Oryctolagus cuniculus: one gene and its partners. The protein of the gene in region 3 purifies or fractionates together with the protein of the main gene of each other region. This does not show direct contact. Links are inferred from orthologs where the notes say so. Each region holds a gene or a part of one and is shown on either strand. Other genes may lie near its edges.

What was found. The genes of interacting proteins can lie anywhere in the genome.
Region 1: the proteins of PPP2CA (region 3) and INTS11 purify together in Homo sapiens (affinity purification with mass spectrometry; 4 studies listed by BioGRID and IntAct, with this or other methods). This does not show direct contact. The link is inferred for Oryctolagus cuniculus from reciprocal best matches to the Homo sapiens genes PPP2CA and INTS11.
Region 2: the proteins of PPP2CA (region 3) and INTS2 purify together in Homo sapiens (affinity purification with mass spectrometry; 4 studies listed by BioGRID and IntAct, with this or other methods). This does not show direct contact. The link is inferred for Oryctolagus cuniculus from reciprocal best matches to the Homo sapiens genes PPP2CA and INTS2.

The regions. Positions count from the first base shown.
Region 1 is NC_091438.1:164,183,157-164,188,977, forward strand, and holds the start of INTS11 (integrator complex subunit 11), read left to right. Parts: upstream 1-2,234; 5' UTR 2,235-2,401; coding exon 2,402-2,429; intron 2,430-3,244; exon of another isoform or gene 3,245-3,409; intron 3,410-3,557; coding exon 3,558-3,655; intron 3,656-4,514; coding exon 4,515-4,588; intron 4,589-5,594; exon of another isoform or gene 5,595-5,821. Other genes in the region: CPTP (ceramide-1-phosphate transfer protein), read right to left, coding at 1-413, 493-662.
Region 2 is NC_091448.1:35,532,074-35,537,938, reverse strand, and holds the start of INTS2 (integrator complex subunit 2), read right to left. Parts: upstream 3,588-5,865; 5' UTR 3,476-3,587; coding exon 3,457-3,475; exon of another isoform or gene 3,187-3,456; intron 2,256-3,186; coding exon 1,949-2,255; intron 606-1,948; coding exon 467-605; intron 1-466. UniProt on the Homo sapiens protein: Component of the integrator complex, a multiprotein complex that terminates RNA polymerase II (Pol II) transcription in the promoter-proximal region of genes.
Region 3 is NC_091437.1:22,517,992-22,523,717, forward strand, and holds the start of PPP2CA (serine/threonine-protein phosphatase 2A catalytic subunit alpha isoform), read right to left. Parts: upstream 3,935-5,726; 5' UTR 3,801-3,934; coding exon 3,699-3,800; intron 1-3,698. UniProt on the Homo sapiens protein: Catalytic subunit of protein phosphatase 2A (PP2A), a serine/threonine phosphatase involved in the regulation of a wide variety of enzymes, signal transduction pathways, and cellular events.

The DNA.
Region 1 (5,821 bases), on a different chromosome or scaffold from region 3:
ACCCCACGTTCATGGCCTCCAGGAAGACCTTGCGCGTGGGCAGGGTGCAGAAGGCCACGGTGACGGCCCGGCGCACGATCCAGGGGTGGTAGGCGGCCAGCGAGGCGTTGTAGGAGTCGGTGCAGAGCACGGAGGTGCGGGCGTCCTCGGCGCTCGTGCGCAGGCCCTCCAGGAAGAGCTGCAGCCAGCGCAGGGCGCGGTGCAGGCGCAGCACCGTGCGGCAGCCCGAGTCGGGGTGGCGGGAGCGGCGGTCCACGTCCACCAGCTGGTTCCCCGTCTCGTAGGCCATCATGGACTGCAGGCTGACGTAGTGCTCGTGCTGGGGGCTGGCCTGCAGCTGCTCCATGATGCGCAGCTTGGAGACGACGTCCTTGGAGATGAAGGAGAAGACGGCGCCCAGGCTGTTCAGGAACCTGCACGGGCGGCAGGCGCTGCAGTCCCCGCCCCAGGCTCCCGCAGCCGGCGGCTGCCCCGCCCGGGCCCCTGACGCACCTGACCAGCCCCTTCCAGCTGGCGATGTAGTGGTCCAGCAGCACCTCGTCCTTCTCGTTGAGACACTGCTTGAAACTGACCAGCACCACCTTCAGGTTGAAGTCGGCCCCCGCATCCTCCATCTTCCCGGTGAGCGCTGTGCCACAGGGGGGGTGGGACGGTGCCGCCATCCCCTCCACCCAGCTCCTTCCCCAGGGGCCACCGGCTCTGAGTGGCCCTGGCTGGCCCTACCGTGCCCCCTGCCCAGACGGTGCACCCACAGGGCGGGTCACCCACCAGGCCGGCCCTGAGCCCCGGTGGGCCGCTGCGCTGCACGGCCGTCTCTCTCACCCCGTTCTAGCTGTCTCCCCGTTAGGAGAGAGGTTTTCCGACCCGCTGCCAGGAGCCAGGGGGCTGCTGTTGGCGTGGGGACCCTGGATATTTGCAAGATCGCTCACAGGCCTCGCAATGCGGCCCACCTGGAAATCAGCCCGCGTCGCCTCGGCGCGGTAGAGGGTTTCGCCAGACAGGAAGCTCTGGGCAGACGCTAGCTCCTAGGGGCCTAAGCACCCCGGGACGCAGAGATGGAGTGGAGGGGCCGGGGGGGTGAGAAGCTTCCCCCTCTGCTCGCTTCTGCACCCCTGAAATCGGAGCAGGGGCAGTGGGGCGGCCTGGCTGCTGCCGGGTCAGGGTCAGTCTTCCCCACCCCCACGGCCGCGGGCCCCGAGGCAAGCTGTGCCCTGGATTCCACTGACACTCACCCGGTCACTCCACAGACATCCAGGTGCCCACGGGCTGTGTGGGTGCCGCCAAGCAGCCAACCAGCCCTGCTCCGGGTGCCCCACTGGCCGTGGCCTGGTGGGGGCTGGCACGGCAGGTGGCTCTGACAGGCCCGGGCCTGCTGCTGGTGCCAGGGGCCCCGCCCTGGCCTCTCCACCCCCGCGGTGCTCGGTCTGGACGGCTGCCTGTGCTGTGAGCCACGGCTAGGAGTGGACCCCTGGGTCCCTATGCAGCTGGGCAGGTGGCTCCCGGCCCTGTGACCGGACGTTGCACCCCTGGGGGCTCCACTGGTTGGGTTGTGTGCCCGGCACCGGGTGAGGCCGAGGGGAGCAGTCGGCCACACCTGGGCCTCCACGCTCTGGAAACGGCTTTCGAGGCCCCCAGGGACACTGCCCCGGCCACCAGATATCCGGAGGGCCCGGCCTTTCCCACCCAGAACCTGAGCCGGCGGCCAAGAAGGAGCCAGCTGCCTGCGGCTCTCGGGGCTGTTCTGCCTGGGCTGGGAACAGGAAGGGCAGTGGCTGTGCGGCAGAGTGCGGGCAGCCGGCCAGCGCCAGGAAGACGCTGCGGGCCGCCTCGCGCCCTCCCCATGGCCAGCAGAGCCAAGGACTCGCGGGGGCCCCCGGGCCTGGCTCCCTGTCCAAGTTAGCCTCGCAAATCTCACCTGGGAAGGGGGTCCGGATGGCACCGTGCTGGGTGGGGCCTGGGTCCGGGGAGCGCCTGCTTCGGCTAAGGGACCCAGGGGTGCGGGCCGAGGCCGGGGTGCTGGTGAGGAGGGGCTGACGTGAGCGGGGAGCGGGGTCCTCGGCCACCCCCGGCCGTTTGGTTGGTCCGCCGCCGCGGATCCCTGGCCTCAGTCGCCGCCGCCGCCGCAGGCCCCGCCCGGGGACCCGGAGCCCCGCCCCGCCGGCCCGATTGGCTGCCGCCCGCCCAATCAGGACGCGACTCACCGGGGGGGGCGAGTTTCCGGCGAGGGACCGGAAGCAGCAACAGAGCGGTTGCGCCTGCGCAGGTGCCACCGCGAGTTGGTGCGCTCCAGGCCCGGAGTTGCGGGAGCCGGGCGCGTGCGGCTGCCCCCCGCCCCTTCCCGGCGAGCCGAGTTCTCTGAGTCGGGGAGCGCAGCGGGAGCGAGGCGCGGGCGCCAGGAGCGATGCCAGAGATCAGAGTCACCCCCTTGGGTGAGTCGGGGCGCCCAGGGCCGGCGGGGCGGGGTCCCGCGCTGGAACTCCTGCGGCACGGCCGGGGGCTCCCGTCCCTCGCCCGCGGGGCGCACAGCTCGGCGGCAGAGCCCCTGCTGCCCAGGCCCTCGCTCCGCGTCCGGCTCCGGCGGCGCCGTCCTGACAGGGCCCGTGGCCTGCGGGCGGCCCTGCACCTCCCGCGCCTGCTCCCCGGCCCGGCCCCGCGCGGAGGGTCCGGGAGGCGCGTGGTCTCTGCGCCCGGGCTTGCGGGGCCCCGGGTGACCGCGCAGCGCTGACTTAGCCTTCCTCCTCAGCACGGAGCAGGGCCCAGGAGGGGCTGTGTGGGCCTCTGTGTTTCCGCGCGGGGGGCAGGGCTGCCGGGGCCCGAGAGCCGGCCTCGATTCCAGCAAAGACGCCCCCCGGGGTGCTCTGGTGCCCACACCCTTGAATTGGCCATGCTGGCGGCCTCCGTGAGCCTTGCACGGCTGCGTTCGGACCTCAGCAGGGTCCCCACCCTCGTCTGTTAGTAGGGGCGGGGGAAGGCTGGAAGGAAACCCAGGCACCCACTGGGGCTGGGGGCAGGCCGAGGTCAGGTCACGTGGCTGAGTGTGTGCTGGGGAGGGGGCACAGGGGTCAAGATGGAGACGGAGCTGCTGACCCCTGCTGCGTCTCCAGCTGTGCAGACCCCAGAGGTCGCGTGCCACCGGGAGCCACGCCTGCCAGGCCCTTGGAGGGGGTAGGGGAGGGTTCCCAGGCCCTTGGAGGGGGTAGGGGAGGGTTCCCAGTGGGGCTGAGCGATGGTGCTCCCCACACAGCTGCTCTGCCTGGGCCACGTCTTCTGTGTCTGAGGCCACGCGTGTCCCTCCGTGGCTGTCACTCAGCACCTAGGCGCTTGGGGACCAGTCCCAGGAAGGAGGGGCATCTAGCTCAGCCGGGGGCCAGCCACCGCCCGGGAGTGACCTGCAGCCGCCATGGGGCCTGTGGGTACAACCTTGAGAAGCAGGGCGTGGCGTGGCGAGGGAGGCCGGGGCTCCTCTGGGCTTGGGCACCTGGTGCTTCCTGGCGGCCCTGGGGGGTGCGGGTGGGCACAGGCATAGCCCAGCCTTTCACACGCCCTCCCCTGAGCAGGAGCCGGCCAGGATGTGGGCCGCAGCTGCATCCTGGTGTCCATCGGGGGCAAGAACGTCATGCTGGACTGCGGCATGCACATGGGCTTCAACGACGACGTGAGTGCCTGGGCGGGGGCGGGGAGGGGGCGGGGAGGGGGGCGGGGCCAGGGAGCTCCTGCAGCCAGGGGCAGGGCTGGGGGTAGGGAGTTCCTGCAGCCAGGGGCAGGGCGGGGCCGGGGAGCTCCTGCAGCCAGGGGCAGGGGTGGGGGGCCAGGGAGCTCCGCAGCCAGGGGCAGGGCGGGGGGGGGGGGGGCTGGGGAGCTCCTGCAGCCAGGGGCAGGGTGGGGGGCCAGGGAGCTCCTGCAGCCAGGGGCAGGGGTGGGGGGCCAGGGAGCTCCTGCAGCCAGGGGCAGGGCGGGGGCCGGGGAGCTCCTGCAGCCAGGGGCAGGGGTGGGGCCAGGGAGCTCTGCAGCCAGGGGCAGGGCGGGGGGCCCGGGAGCTCCTGCAGCCAGGGGCAGGGGTGGGGGCTGGGGAGTTCCTGCAGCCAGGGGCAGGGCGGGGGCTGGGGAGTTCCTGCAGCCAGGGGCAGGGCGGGGGGCGGGGCCGGGGAGCTCTGCAGCCAGGGGCAGGCATGGAGGGTGAGTGGCATGTGTACCCAGATGGTGTCCTGTGCAGGCTCTGGGCAGAGGGCGGGGCTGTCACTTCCTGGGTGCTCCCCAGCATTTTACAGGTGGAGCCAGGCTGAGGCGAGCGCCCCTGGGGTGGGGGTCGGTCTGGCCGCTGGGTCCCATGGCCGCTGTGTCCTCCTGCGGTTGGCTCAGCGTCCTGCCGTGCGGCCGGGGAGGACGGCAGGTGCCTCGCCAGCAGCCTGCTCCTCGGGAGGCCGTGAGTGGCCAGCAGTGCTGGGCCCTCCAGCCTGGCTTGAGTGCTCACCTGGACCCCTCCCGGGGGCCACCCTCTCCCGGCTTCTCCACAGCGGCGCTTCCCCGACTTCTCCTACATCACTCAGAACGGCCGGCTGACCGACTTCCTGGACTGTGTCATCATCAGGTGGGTGCCCGGAGGGGCCGCCTCGGGGTGCGCAGCCCTCAGAGCAGCGCTGGTCAGTGCCACGCCATGGAGGATGAGGTGCACTCGCCCCACCCGGGCGGAGAGAGAGGAGAGAGGAGTTCTTCCATCCACATCCGCTCGTTCACTCCCTGAATGGCCGCCCCAGCCAGGTGTGGTCCGGCTGAGGCTGGGAGTTCCGTCTGCCCTCTGGTGAGGCGCAGGGCCCCCGGCGCGGTAGCAGGGGCTCCGTCTGCCCTCTGGTGAGGTGCAGGGCCCCCGGCGCGGTAGCAGGGGCCCCGTCTGCCCTCTGGTGAGGTGCAGGGCCCCCGGCGCGGTAGCAGGGGCTCCGTCTGCCCTCTCTGAGGTGCAGGGCCCCCGGCGCGGTAGCAGGGAGTTGCATGGGAACCACAGCGTCCAGGACTCTGATATGGACCCAGCGCTGCAAGGAGTGGCCCAGCGCCTGTGCCTGGCCCCAGTTCCCCCATGAAGACTTTGACAATGGTGACTGCCCTTCTGCTGGCCCTCGATCCTCCCCGGTCACAGTGGCCCGGCCCCTGACCTCTCACCCCAAGGCGTCGCAGCATCTCAGTGCCCACTGGACAGGAGGAGGAGCCGAGTGCCCCCTCCTCTCCCCTCTGACCACCATCCTCACTTGTACTGGGCAGTGCCACCCAGTGGCCAAGCGCTGTGCCTCTGGCCCCTGCCTCCCACGAGCAGGTCTGTTAGGCCTGCAGCAGCTGTCTCAGGAAGCCGTGTCCTGAGCACCTGTGTCGCATGCTCCTTCCGGACATGGGCCATGGCCTTCCCTGGGCTGGGCACTGGGGCTGCCTCCACCCGGTCTCCCTGAGCACCGTCAGGGGCTGGGCACTGGGGCTGCCTCCACCCGGTCTCCCTGAGCACCGTCAGGGGCTGGGCACTGGGGCTGCCTCCACCCGGTCTCCCTGAGCACCGTCAGGGGCTGGGCACTGGGGCTCCCTCCACCCGGTCTCCCTGAGCACCGTCAGGGGCTGGGCACTGGGGCTCCCTCCACCCGGTCTCCCTGAGCACCGTCAGGCAGTGCTTCCCCTTGGCTAGTTCACGCTGCTGCTGCTTCTTGTTTTTGTTTTTGTTTTTGTTTTTGTTTTTTTCTTTTTTTAAAGCTTTATTTATTTATTTATTTGAAAGCATTGCAGAGAAAGAGAGAGGCAGAGACAGAGAGATCTTCTGTTCGCTGGTTCAGTCCCCAGATGGCCA
Region 2 (5,865 bases), on a different chromosome or scaffold from region 3:
ATTCATTTCAAACTGATGAAAAATAAGTTCAGGGGCTGGCACTGTAGCATGGTGGATAAGGGTACCATCTGCAGTGTTAGCATCCCAGATGGGCACCGGTTCAAGTCCCGGCTGCTCCCTTCTGATCCAGCTCTCTGCCATGGCCATGTGAAAGCAGTAGAAGATGGCCCAAGTCCTTGGGCCCCTGCACCTGCATGGGAGACCTGGCTCCTGGCTTCAGATCGGCGCAGCTCTGGCCGTTGCGGCCATCTGGAGAGTGAACCAGCAAATGAAAGACCTCTCGCTCGCTCTCTCTCTGCCTCTCCTCAATCTGTGTAACTCTTTCAAATAAATAAATAAATCTTTAAAAAAGAAATACAAGTAGGAAAGGACACAGCCTGCCTGCCTTGTTGCCCTGTTCTTCACAACCTTTCTATATGTAGATATCAAAGCATAAATACTTTGAGTTGTGCTCAAAATAAATCACCTTGTTCATGATTGCCAACAGTTCGCTAAGCACGAGACGCAATCGCCGAGGTGAATCGCTGTGTTCAAACTCTAATGTCAGTCCATGCTGAAGCTGGGAAACCAGGATGCTCTCTCCACTGCCTCCTCCAAGTTTATGCCTAATGAAGCACAAACACATAAAACAACACGTATGAGAACACTTGTGTGGAAGTAATGCATAAAAATTATCTTTTATTAAAATAACCAACAAAAGAACATAAAAATTTTAAATACCTTCTATGACTTCTGATTATTATTTAGCTTACCTATCATCTCAGGGATTCACAACCTACATACATAAAGACTCCATCACAACTGATAGTAAACATCACTTCCCTTAAAACTAGTGGGTTACTCTTGGATTCATTATGGAGGAGTTTGGGGGAGAAGGACATAACATCTACCCAGAACCTTTGTGAACCAGCAAAAGTTTAAAAAGCTGGGAGCCGGCTCTTTGGCACAGCGGATAAAGCCACTGCCTGCAGTGCTGGAATCCCATAAGGCCGCTTCTTTTTTGTTTGTTTGTTTGTTTGTTTTTTGACAGGCAGAGTGGACAGTGAGAGAGAGAGACAGAGAGAAAGGTCTTCCTTTGCCGTTGGTTCACCCTCCAATGGCCGCCGCGGCCAGCACGCTGCGGCCGGCACACCGCGCTGATCCGATGGCAGGAGCCAGGTGCTTCTCCTGGTCTCCCATGGGGTGCAGGGCCCAAGTACCTGGGCCATCCTCCACTGCACTCCCTGGCCACAGCAGAGGGCTGGCCTGGAAGAGGAGCAACCGGGACAGAATCCGGCACCCCGACTGGGACTAGAACCTGGTGTGCCGGCGCCACAAGGCGGAGGATTAGCCTATTGAGCCGTGGCGCCGGCCCCCATCTGCTTCTGATCCAGCTCTCTGCTATGGCCTGGGAAAGCAGTAGAAGACAGCCCAAGTCCTCAGGCCCCTGCACCCACATGGGAAGACTCGGAGGAAGCTCCTGGCTCCTGGCTTCAGATTGGCACAGCTCCGGCCATTATGGCCATTTGGGGAGTGAACCAGTGGATGGAAGATCTACCTCTCTCTCTCTCTCTCTCTGCCTCTCCCTTTCTTTCTGTGTAACTCTGACTTTCAAATAAATAAATAAATCTTTTTAAAAAAAAGTTTAAAAAGCTGCCCAAATGATTCTAATACATCCTGTAATACATCCCTGTAATCTAGAGGGAGTTACCCTAAACACTTCCCACAAAGTAACTGGCCACATCAGTTTAGCCGGACAACAGAATAAGGCCAAACTTCTACACGATATTTTTAAAGACCCTAGGATTTTAACTACAAATAGAAAAGACCTAAGTAGAATAGTCTCTGAAGTTTACATTCTCATTCTGTTTTCTGGAGGAGCTCTCCAAGCTCTGAGAAACCACCGATGCCCTATTCCTCAGCCAATCTAAGTACATCCTGATCTGCCCGGTTCATAACGGAACGTTACCTAAGCTGCTGCTCCTTGCTGGCATCCTGCTCTAAAGCGTGGAAGTCCACCGAGAGCAACGCAACGATGGAGTTGACGGCTTCCACTCCGGACAGAAGGCGGAGGATGAGCTTTTTATCTTGAGCCCAGCTCTGGCTCTGGTCAGCAGGAGCACAAAGCGCCATCCGTACCAAACAGGGCAGGAGAAGTCTTAGTTCCGGATCACTTAAAGACGCCAGGCGCACCACATCCACCTTCTGCATTGCCTCGAAAGCGAAAGGGCTGACAAACTGAAGGCTTGCACACTCAGTCATCATCACTGTGGATCCTAGTGACAAAAAGAGAGAGAGTTGGGGTAGAACGTCCACGTGGTGTAAACGCCTTCTTTTGAAAAACCCTGGGAATGTGGTACACTTGTCACAGGCCCCTCAACTGGCAACGTTCCGGACACCAATAAAGACAAGGCTTTTTCTGTCTGCCTCTCTTCCTACTGCCACCTGGGAAATAAGAAAATAGAGAATTTTAATGCCTCTTCTAGCCTTTTCCACAGAACACGAAGTCTGGTGAGATACAGGAACAGGCCCAAAGTACTACAACTAGTTAGTGGCAAAATCCAAGGCTCAGCCGTCATCGACCAAATCCCTGTTCGAGCCCTCTCTAAAACCTCTGCACTAGTCCCCCCAGCGCCACAAAAGCTAAGCGAGCGGCCACAGCTAAGGCGGCTCCTCTTGCCCCACCCGCCTGGTTTCACAGCCTCTCCGACATGGGTAAGGAGCTGCGGCTTCTCTCCCCGTCCTCCCCCAGTGCAAACGCTGGAGAATCACCTCGCTGGCTACAAGCCACGGCACATCCCGGCTCTAAGGGCTACTCTTCCCTACACCCCCTGCGTTATGGATAAAAAGCACACGTGTAGGTGCAAGGAGCTGTGCCACGGGGAAAGACGAGCGCCACTCGGGCAGCTGCCTGTCCTCAGGAGTCATCAAAAAAAAAAAAAAAAAGCAACAGTTAGCCAGAGCCATCCCCTAAGACCGACCGACTGGCAGCACCGTGGGTGCGAGGCGTGGGCAGCCACGCTGATTTGCTCTGAAGCAGGAGGAGCTGGTCTTTGAACAGAGGGCTGGGCTGCCGGGGCAGAGGCGCCAAGACCGGTCCTGCCCCGGACAGAACCAGAAGCCAGTCCCTCGGGCTGAGAGAAGTCTAGCCGGTCGCCGACAAAGACCGGGGAACGCGCTGAGGCCTGAGAAGCGGACGCTTCATACCTGAAGATCTACCCTCCAAGCCTCACGGGACCCCACTGGGATTCTGCGTCCTACAGGCGGCCGCGGCAGAAATCGAGAGCGCGGTCCGAAGTTGGGCCTAGGCGGTAATCCGAATCCCCACACCCTAGCTGTGCCCGACTCGATCTGGGCACCAAGCGCTCAGACGCCGGGACCGACCGGGCGGTGGGCAAGACGGGGGCAGGACGGGAACACCGCACCAGGGCAGAACCCAGACTGGAGGAAGGGAAAAGCCGAGGAGACTTTTTCAACCTGCACCCAGCTCCTTCATTCATCCCCAGCGTCTGGCTCCCGTCGGCCACCGTACTGGACTGAAAGGAAGAGTAGCTGCAAGAGGAAACCCAGAGCCGACGGCGCCAGGGCGCCGGTGCGCGTGCGCGTGCGCGTGCGCGGCCCCGCCCCTTCCTCCGCCCGCGCTGTTCCCTGCCCAGGTTCGGCTCCGACGGTTTGGGCTAAGGATTCTATCGTTTTTCCAGAGCTGTGTCCTTTTAGACAAGCTACTAAGCCCCCTCGGAGCTTCAGGAACTTCATCACAGGATTATCGAGGCATTCAGAACACACAACGCGTGTGTAAGAGATGTTAATGTTGTCCCCACTATTGTTTGACCGGAACACTACATAACCAGTCTGCACGCTTCTTTAAATCTTCCCCTAGTAGGTCCTCTCAGCACCAGAATTCCAGAATCCCAGGATGTGGCGGAGAATTTAAAAAGAAATCTAATCTCAAGTCTCTCGATGTCCCACCAGCGCCGTCCGAAGTCAGACCTCTTCCTCTCAGCGTCCTTAACTTAGGGTCCATAGATTCGTAGGATGTGGTTTCAGGAATTCCCTGGAATCTGTTCAAAATTATGAGTATCTGGTACTTCTGGAAAGAGAGCCCAAACCTCTTCAAGGTCTAAAATACATGCTGTTTCTTCTACCTAGTTAAATCAACATGTGTTTGGGACCTTCTATTTACCAAGTATCAATGCTAAATAATACTTTACAGTTTGCAAGGCTTTAACAGATGAATAATCTCTTTTAAAATAAGGTCTGGCTTTCAAAATAGATCAGCAGAGGAAAAAAAGCACTAATGTGCGTTTCAGTGTTTCTGACTTTGTTTCCACCTGACAAATCATTAAAATAACGTTTGTCAATGAAATAATTTTGATAATAGTTATATAGACTCAGACTATATATAGAATAATTATATAGACCCTGCACCATTGGTCTGTAAGCTATCAAGTGTACTGCTTCCTCTCATGATGACTTTTTTTTTTTTTTTTTTAAAGAAAAGGGGAATTTATTTGAAAGAGAGAAAAAGAGGGAGAGACAGATTTTCCATTCGCTGGTTCACACCCCAAATGGCCAAGACAGCTGGGGCCAGGCCAGGTCAAAGCCAGGAGCCAAGAGCTTCATCCAGATCTCCATGTGGGTGCAGGAGCCCAAGAACCTGGACCATCTTCCACTGCTTTCCCAGGTGCATTAGCAGAGAGCTGGCTGAGAAATGGAGCTGCTAGGACTTGAAACAACATTCAGAGCAGCTGCCGAAGTCACAAGCAACAGCTTAACCCATTAGGCCACACCACCAACCCCCCTTAACTACTATCAAATCAATTTTTAAAACTTTTATTTATTTTCATTTTATTTTAAAGGCAGAGAGACAGAAAGAGAAAATCATCTGTTAGTGCATTCCCCAAATGCCCACCAACAGCTGGGACTGGTTCAGGCTGAAGCCAGGAGCCAGGAACTCAGTCCAGGTTTCCCTCGTAGGTGGCAGGGACCCATCGACTTGAATGTCATCTGTTGCCACCCAGGGTGCACATAAACAGAAAGCTAGATCAGGAGCAGAGGAGCCAGGACTTGAACCAAGCATCCCAAGCAGCAACCTCTGTGCCAAATGCCCGCCACAATTTTTAGAAAGACTGTGCAGCCCTAATGTTTAAATTAGGCAGATTCTCTTCTCAAGTGGCAAATAATCCTACAAATTAATTGTCCTTATATCACATTTGATTGTCAAAGGACTGTAATATAATTACTACTTTTGTGATTAAAAATGTTTGAAAAGCATGCAGCCAGAGAAAAAGTTTGAGAAAATAATCTCATTTTAAGGCCAATATGATATTGAAGCCCATTACCATTTCTAGCCACAAAAAATTATTTTTCACTAATTCTCTGATAACTTTTTCACATTTTAACATGCCCCAAATTGGGGCATCTTATAATGGGTTCATTTTCTATGTGGCACATGAACCACTGATGTCTTAAGTATTAGTGCCGGCCGGCGCCGCGGCTCACTAGGCTAATCCTCCGCCTAGCGGCGCCGGCACACCGGGTTCTAGTCCCGGTCGGGGCGCCGGATTCTGTCCCGGTTGCCCCTCTTCCAGGCCAGCCCTCTGCTGTGGCCAGGGAGTGCAGTGGAGGATGGCCCAGGTGCTTGGGCCCTGCACCCCATGGGAGACCAGGAAAAGCACCTGGCTCCTGGCTCCTGCCATCGGATCAGCGCGGTGCGCCGGCCGCAGCGCGCCGGCCGCGGCGGCCATTGGAGGGTGAACCAACGGCAAAAGGAAGACCTTTCTCTCTGTCTCTCTCTCTCACTGTCCACTCTGCCTGTCAAAAAAAAAAAAAAAAAAAAAAAAAAAGTATTAGTGCCTTGGATTTGATGAAAAATGTTGAATAGTT
Region 3 (5,726 bases):
CTGCAGGTGGCAGATTAACCCACAATGAAACAACAGCGGCTCCACCAATATTTTCTTTAAAGCCAATGACTGATTAAATAATTAAGTGGGGGGATTAGGAGGAGAGAGAGGAACACGAGCAAGTGAGCACTGCATCCACTGGCTCATTCCCCACATATGCACAACAGCCTGGCTGGCTGGGGCTCAAGGTGGAAGCCTAAAACTCAATCCAGTTCCCCCACGTGAGAGGCAATCATTTAAGCCATCATTGCTTCCTCTCAGGGTGTGTATTAGCAGGAAGCTGTAATCTGGAGCTGGAGTCAGGTGTAAAACCCAGGTACTCTGACGTTGGAAATGAGCCTCTTAAACACTAGGCCAGCCAGCGCCGGCACTCCGGGTTCTAGTCCTGGTTGGGGCGCCAGATTCTGTCCCGGTTGCTCCTCCTCCAGTCCAGCTCTCTGCTGTGGCCTGGGAGGGCAGTGGAGGATGGCCCAAGTGCCTGGGTCCTGCACCCGCATGGGAGACCAGGAGAAGCACCTGGCTCCTGGCTTCGGATCAGCACGGTGCGCCAGCCACAGTGCTGCAGTGGTCATTGGAGGGTGAACCAACGGTAAAGGAAGACCTTTCTCTTACTGTCCACTCTGCCTGTCAAAACAAACAAACAAACAAACAAACAAAAAACACTAGGCCAAACAACCTTATCACCCACACAAATTTAGTAGTGAAAAGACAACTTGTACTGAAGATACCAAGTCATCTTCAAATTAATCTAGTTTAGATTAATATAGAGGTGAAATAGGCACAAGCATTTGGCACAGTGGCTAAGATACCAACTGGGACACCCATATACCACCTGGTTTAAGTTTCAGCTCCTCTGCTTCCAATCCAGCTTCCTGCTAATACACACCCTACGACAGAGCAGTGATGTCCCAAATACTTGGGTCCTGGTATTCCACATGGAAGACCCTGACTGAATGCTAAGTTCTAGGCTTTGGCCTGGCCCAGCTCTGGCGCCTGTGGGCATTTGGAGTGAACCAGTAAATGAGTGCTCTCTCTGCCTCTCAATGGGTGAATAAAAAGTGGGGTGGAAGTGACATCCACCAAAAATGATCTATTCTATGGAAACCTTTACATAATACCTAGCTATAAATATTTCCATCTTTCTGAATCTCAAACCTGAAATCATGGACACAACAATGGAGATCTAAGTCAATTAACGTCACAACTATGTTCCACAAAGACATGGAAAAACCATGAACACGGAGTCCATGAAGCATCAGCCCTCTCACCTTGGCACCCTCTATTACCTTCTATAGTCTGAAAAACCCCCACTACTTGCAGGCTCCATCTCCTGCTGCTCCTACCCATTCATACCTTTCTTTCCAACTCAACTCAAAGCTCCTTGACAATACAAGGACACTTCAAAAAAATTCATGGGGTCAGCACTGTGGCACAACAGGTTAAAGCCCCGGCCTTGCAGCACCAGCATCATATGGGCACCAGTTTGAGTCCCAGCTGCTCTACTTCTGATGCAGCTCTCTGCTATGCCCTGGGAAAGCAATGGAAGATGGCTCAAGTGCTTGGGATCCTGAACTCACATGGGGGACCCTGAAGCTCCTGGCTCCTGGCTTCGGACTGGTTCAGCTCCAGCTGTTGCAGCCATTTGGGGAGTGAACCAGTGGATGGAAGAGCTCTCCTTCTCTGTAAATCTTTCAAATAAAATAAATTTAAAAAAAGTTTATAGAGAAAAGAATTATAAGTTTATTTGGATGCAAAAGTTTTGCCATCCATGCAGTTTTTTCGTAATAGGCATCTTTCATGAACTTTCTGAACTATCAACCTTACATCACTATTTTTTGCTGCTTTTCATGCTCCCATAAACATATGCAATCTTGGATATTCAATAAGTGCTAAAATTTTAAACACAAAGAACTAATTTCAGATGAAACTGCATAATCTCCAAAGCTCCCAGAATACATTTTAATTCCTTCTTCTATAGACAGGAAATCAAGGACTATCTGAGTGTCTGCCCCGAAGTTAACCAAAATCACTCACTTAGGAGCAGGAAGAGGACCAACTCCCAACTGCTGGTCTTCCAACTACATCCCCGTCTCCCTTCTCAGTGTTTTCTTCACAAATGACTAGTCATCCAATCACTGACTCAAAGTGCAGTCCGTAAAGTTCTGAATCTGCAGTCAGTCAAGTCATCATTTATATTAAGCTAGAAATTAAGACCTGGCAATACACATTAAGTAATTTTCAAAGTCCTATTTCTAAATCTTTAAAAAGTAAAGACTAGCCTCATATGATCTGAGAGAATTTCAAGTCAAGAAACTGGAGATTCAACACACTGGAGCCGTAGGATCCAGCTCCAGCAGATGATGTGCTTGCCCCACTATTAGTGCTCTGTTCAGGCTCGGGGAGAAATAAATCTAACTTAAATTCCAATAGTTTACAGCATGATTTGTCTGGAAACCTCCACTACATGAACCTAATGTTCACATGGAACCACAAACAAGTCAGCGTTAACAGTTCTCCAAAAACTCTTTTCACTAACACACAATGCTGGCAGTACTCCACAATTCTGTGCTAAAATGAAATGCTGTTAATTGTGCAAAGGGTAAATTTAATATGTTCGTAAGGAGATCAGTATTTTGTGTACTGTGGGAAACTTAACAAAAATTAAAAATTACGTACAGCTAATGGATACTCCGTTTCCCCAATCCCTGGGGAAAACCAAAACAGATTTTGGTAACAGAAAACACAAAATTCAATGTTATTTCGTGGACAATATTCCACTCCCAACGCTTTACGATATTTCAACCTGAAGCGCAACGTCTGGGATAAAGTGCTCACTAGCAAGTATTACTACCATTTGCAGCCCAAAACGGACAAGCATGGAACTTTTTCAACGAAGAGAGCACAAAATTCGCCGCGTTTCCAGGTTACGTTGCTCATTTTTAAAAACAAATGGCAAAACGCCAAGTATGTTAGGCTCAAGAGAAGGGTTCCTCACTGCCCGGCTTGAGTCAGCATATAAATCATAGGTTACACTGACTGGATTTCCAACCCAGAAGCTCCTTATGTAGTATGACTCACCGAATTCCCCATTTCTTCCAACTCTGAGAAAGAAGTTATACTCTGTCCCCTTAGAACTACCATGACCTTCGCAGAAATTAGGTTACAGGCTTTTTTTTAAAAAAATGCTTAAAGACACTCCTCCAAGAGGTCTCCGGGGGCAGAGCCTGGGCCGGGTGGACACTATCCCTCCCCCGGGTGGCGGTCACGCCGGGGCCTCAGGCCCTCAAGCCTGCTTCTGGGGGCTGCTGCGGGCAGCGCGGGCTCCGAGACGCCCCTCAGCGCACCACAGAGGCCCACTCCCACTCCCGGGCCACGCACCCCAGCCCGCCGACCCGGGGGCCCCAAGCCGTCCCCGGGCCTGGCCACGGGGTCTCCGCTCCTCCTGCCACCCCGCCTGGAGCCCGGGCCCGCAGGCTCCCAAGACCCGGCGTCGGGTGAACGGCGCCATTTTAGGCGGCGACGACAGCCAATCCGTGCGCGGGAGGCAGGGGGCGTCGGGTCGTCCGGGAGCCGCCGCCGGCCAGGCCAGGCCGGGCGCCGGTCGGGGAGGCTCGGCCCGGCCGGCGGCCTCCGCCATGTTGCACCCTCCTCACGGACACCGCCTCCTCGGCGGCCCCGGCAGGCCGGGCGCAGCTCACCTTCTCGCAGAGGCTCTTGACCTGGGACTCGGACAGCTGCTTGCACTCGTTCAGCTGCTCGATCCACTGGTCCAGCTCCTTGGTGAACACCTTCTCGTCCATGATGCCACCCGCCCCAACCGGCTGCCGCTCTGCGCTGCTCCCGCGCCGCCGCCCGCACACGGGCCACACGCACACGCCGCCGCCGGCTCCCGGGGGGTACTTCCTTGGCCGCTGGCGGTCGCTCGGCGCCGGCGCTGGCCGCTGGCTCTCCCCGCAGTGCTCGGCCGCCGGCCGCTGCGCCTCCTCCGCTCGCCCTAGCTCCGGAGCTCGCCTCTGTAATGGCGGCTGCCCGGCGTGGTGACGTCACGCGGCGTCAGGAGGCGGCGGGCAGCCGACGGAGAAAGAGCCCGGACGCAAGCTGCGCAGCCACACGGCGGACCCGGGTCGGGCGCACGGCCGGAGAGGGGGCGCAAACGAGGGGCCACAGCGCAGGCGCGATGTAGCCGGCTGGAGACCGAGGCGCCTTCGCGTTTAGGGCGTGGTCTCTTAGAAAGGAGAGGCCTGGGGGTTGGGGGTGGGGGGGAAGACCCGAGTCCGAGCATGCGCAGTGCCCGCAGCGGCGAACGGGCTCGGCCCGGAGCACTACGCCCCGAGAGGCGCGAGCGCGGGCCCGGCGCAGGCGCAGTCGGGGACGCGGGGGTGTGGGGGTCTCCCGTCAGCCGGAAACGTGTTTCCTTGGGAAGGCCTCTGGGGTGCTGCTTGGCAGCCAGGTCACGGAGGCGAGAGTCGCGACCCCATGGCTTCTCCAGGGTGCAGGAGCGCGGGAATTGCGTGGGACTCCCGCATCTGTGGGAGCAGGAATGGGCGCGGCCGGCACCGTGTAATTAGGTCGGTCGTGGGCGGGGGAGGTACACCTGTCGCGTGGAGCCGCGCAGGGCACCTGACTCCCAGCACACGTCTGTCCTCGGGCCTGGGCGTCTCTGACGGCGGGCCCCGGGTCCTTGGCCCCCTCGACCTCGCTCATCGTCGCCTTGCGCTCCCGGTGTGCGTGCACCTTCCTCCTGGTCCGAGAGCCCTGGCCGCGTGCCGGCCACGATCCTAGAAATGAAAGCGCAGACACCCTGCGATCCGACCGGCCTTGCCCTGGTCCTGAATGCCTCCGGGGTTCGCGCAACCTCGCATCCCGTTTCCCCTACATTTGCAGAAATACTGGGCTCCTTGCAGGGCCAACTGTGTGCCACACGCAGGGCCTGGGATATGAAGGGGTCGTCCGAACAGGTACGGGGCCCTAACTTCATGACGGAGCCCATGGTGCTGCCTGAAAATTGTTGGGAATAGCGATTATGATGACTCCAGGAAAAGCTTTACCAAGGACAGTTAGCCGTGAAGGACAAGGCAAGAGCTGGTTCTGGTCGCCTTCAACCCTGCCACTCCCAAGCGCCCTGACTTACCCAGGAGTGCATCGCCAGCAGCCGGTGGCGGAACTGAAGAGCCTTCGTCCAAGACAACCTGCTGGGCGAGGCCCACTGGCCCGGCCTTCCCCACTAGTGCCTCCCACTAGTGTGCCCAGAAGAAAGCCCCTCGACTCCTCCCCAGACTGTAAAAAGACCTTTAGCCTAAATGCTGAGGCTGTTTTGCAGTGAAAGTCCTCGAACAACACAGGAGAAAGAGTTGGGACCGTGTGGAGTGAGTGGGGAAAAGCCCAGCACTGGGTGTCCAGGGTCCTGAAGCCGAGCCGGGTGTGCCTGCCTGCTCTTTACCACGTTGTCATGGACCTGACAGCTGGGCAAGAAGCAGACCCTCACACCAGAGAAGGGACTGGCCCAAGTGGTCAGGATTTCAGTGCGCTGTCCCAGCCACACTCATACAGCCGACCCTCCAGGCCTGCAGTATGGAACACGGTCAGAGTCGTTTCTCTGCCTGAGTTCTCCACCTGCAGAGTAGATAGTGACGTCAGTCTGGAGAAGTGCCCAACGCCCACTGTGTGCTAGGATTATAATGAATACGTTTGTCCGAAGTACTGTGCGCTCCCTGTAACTTATTTTC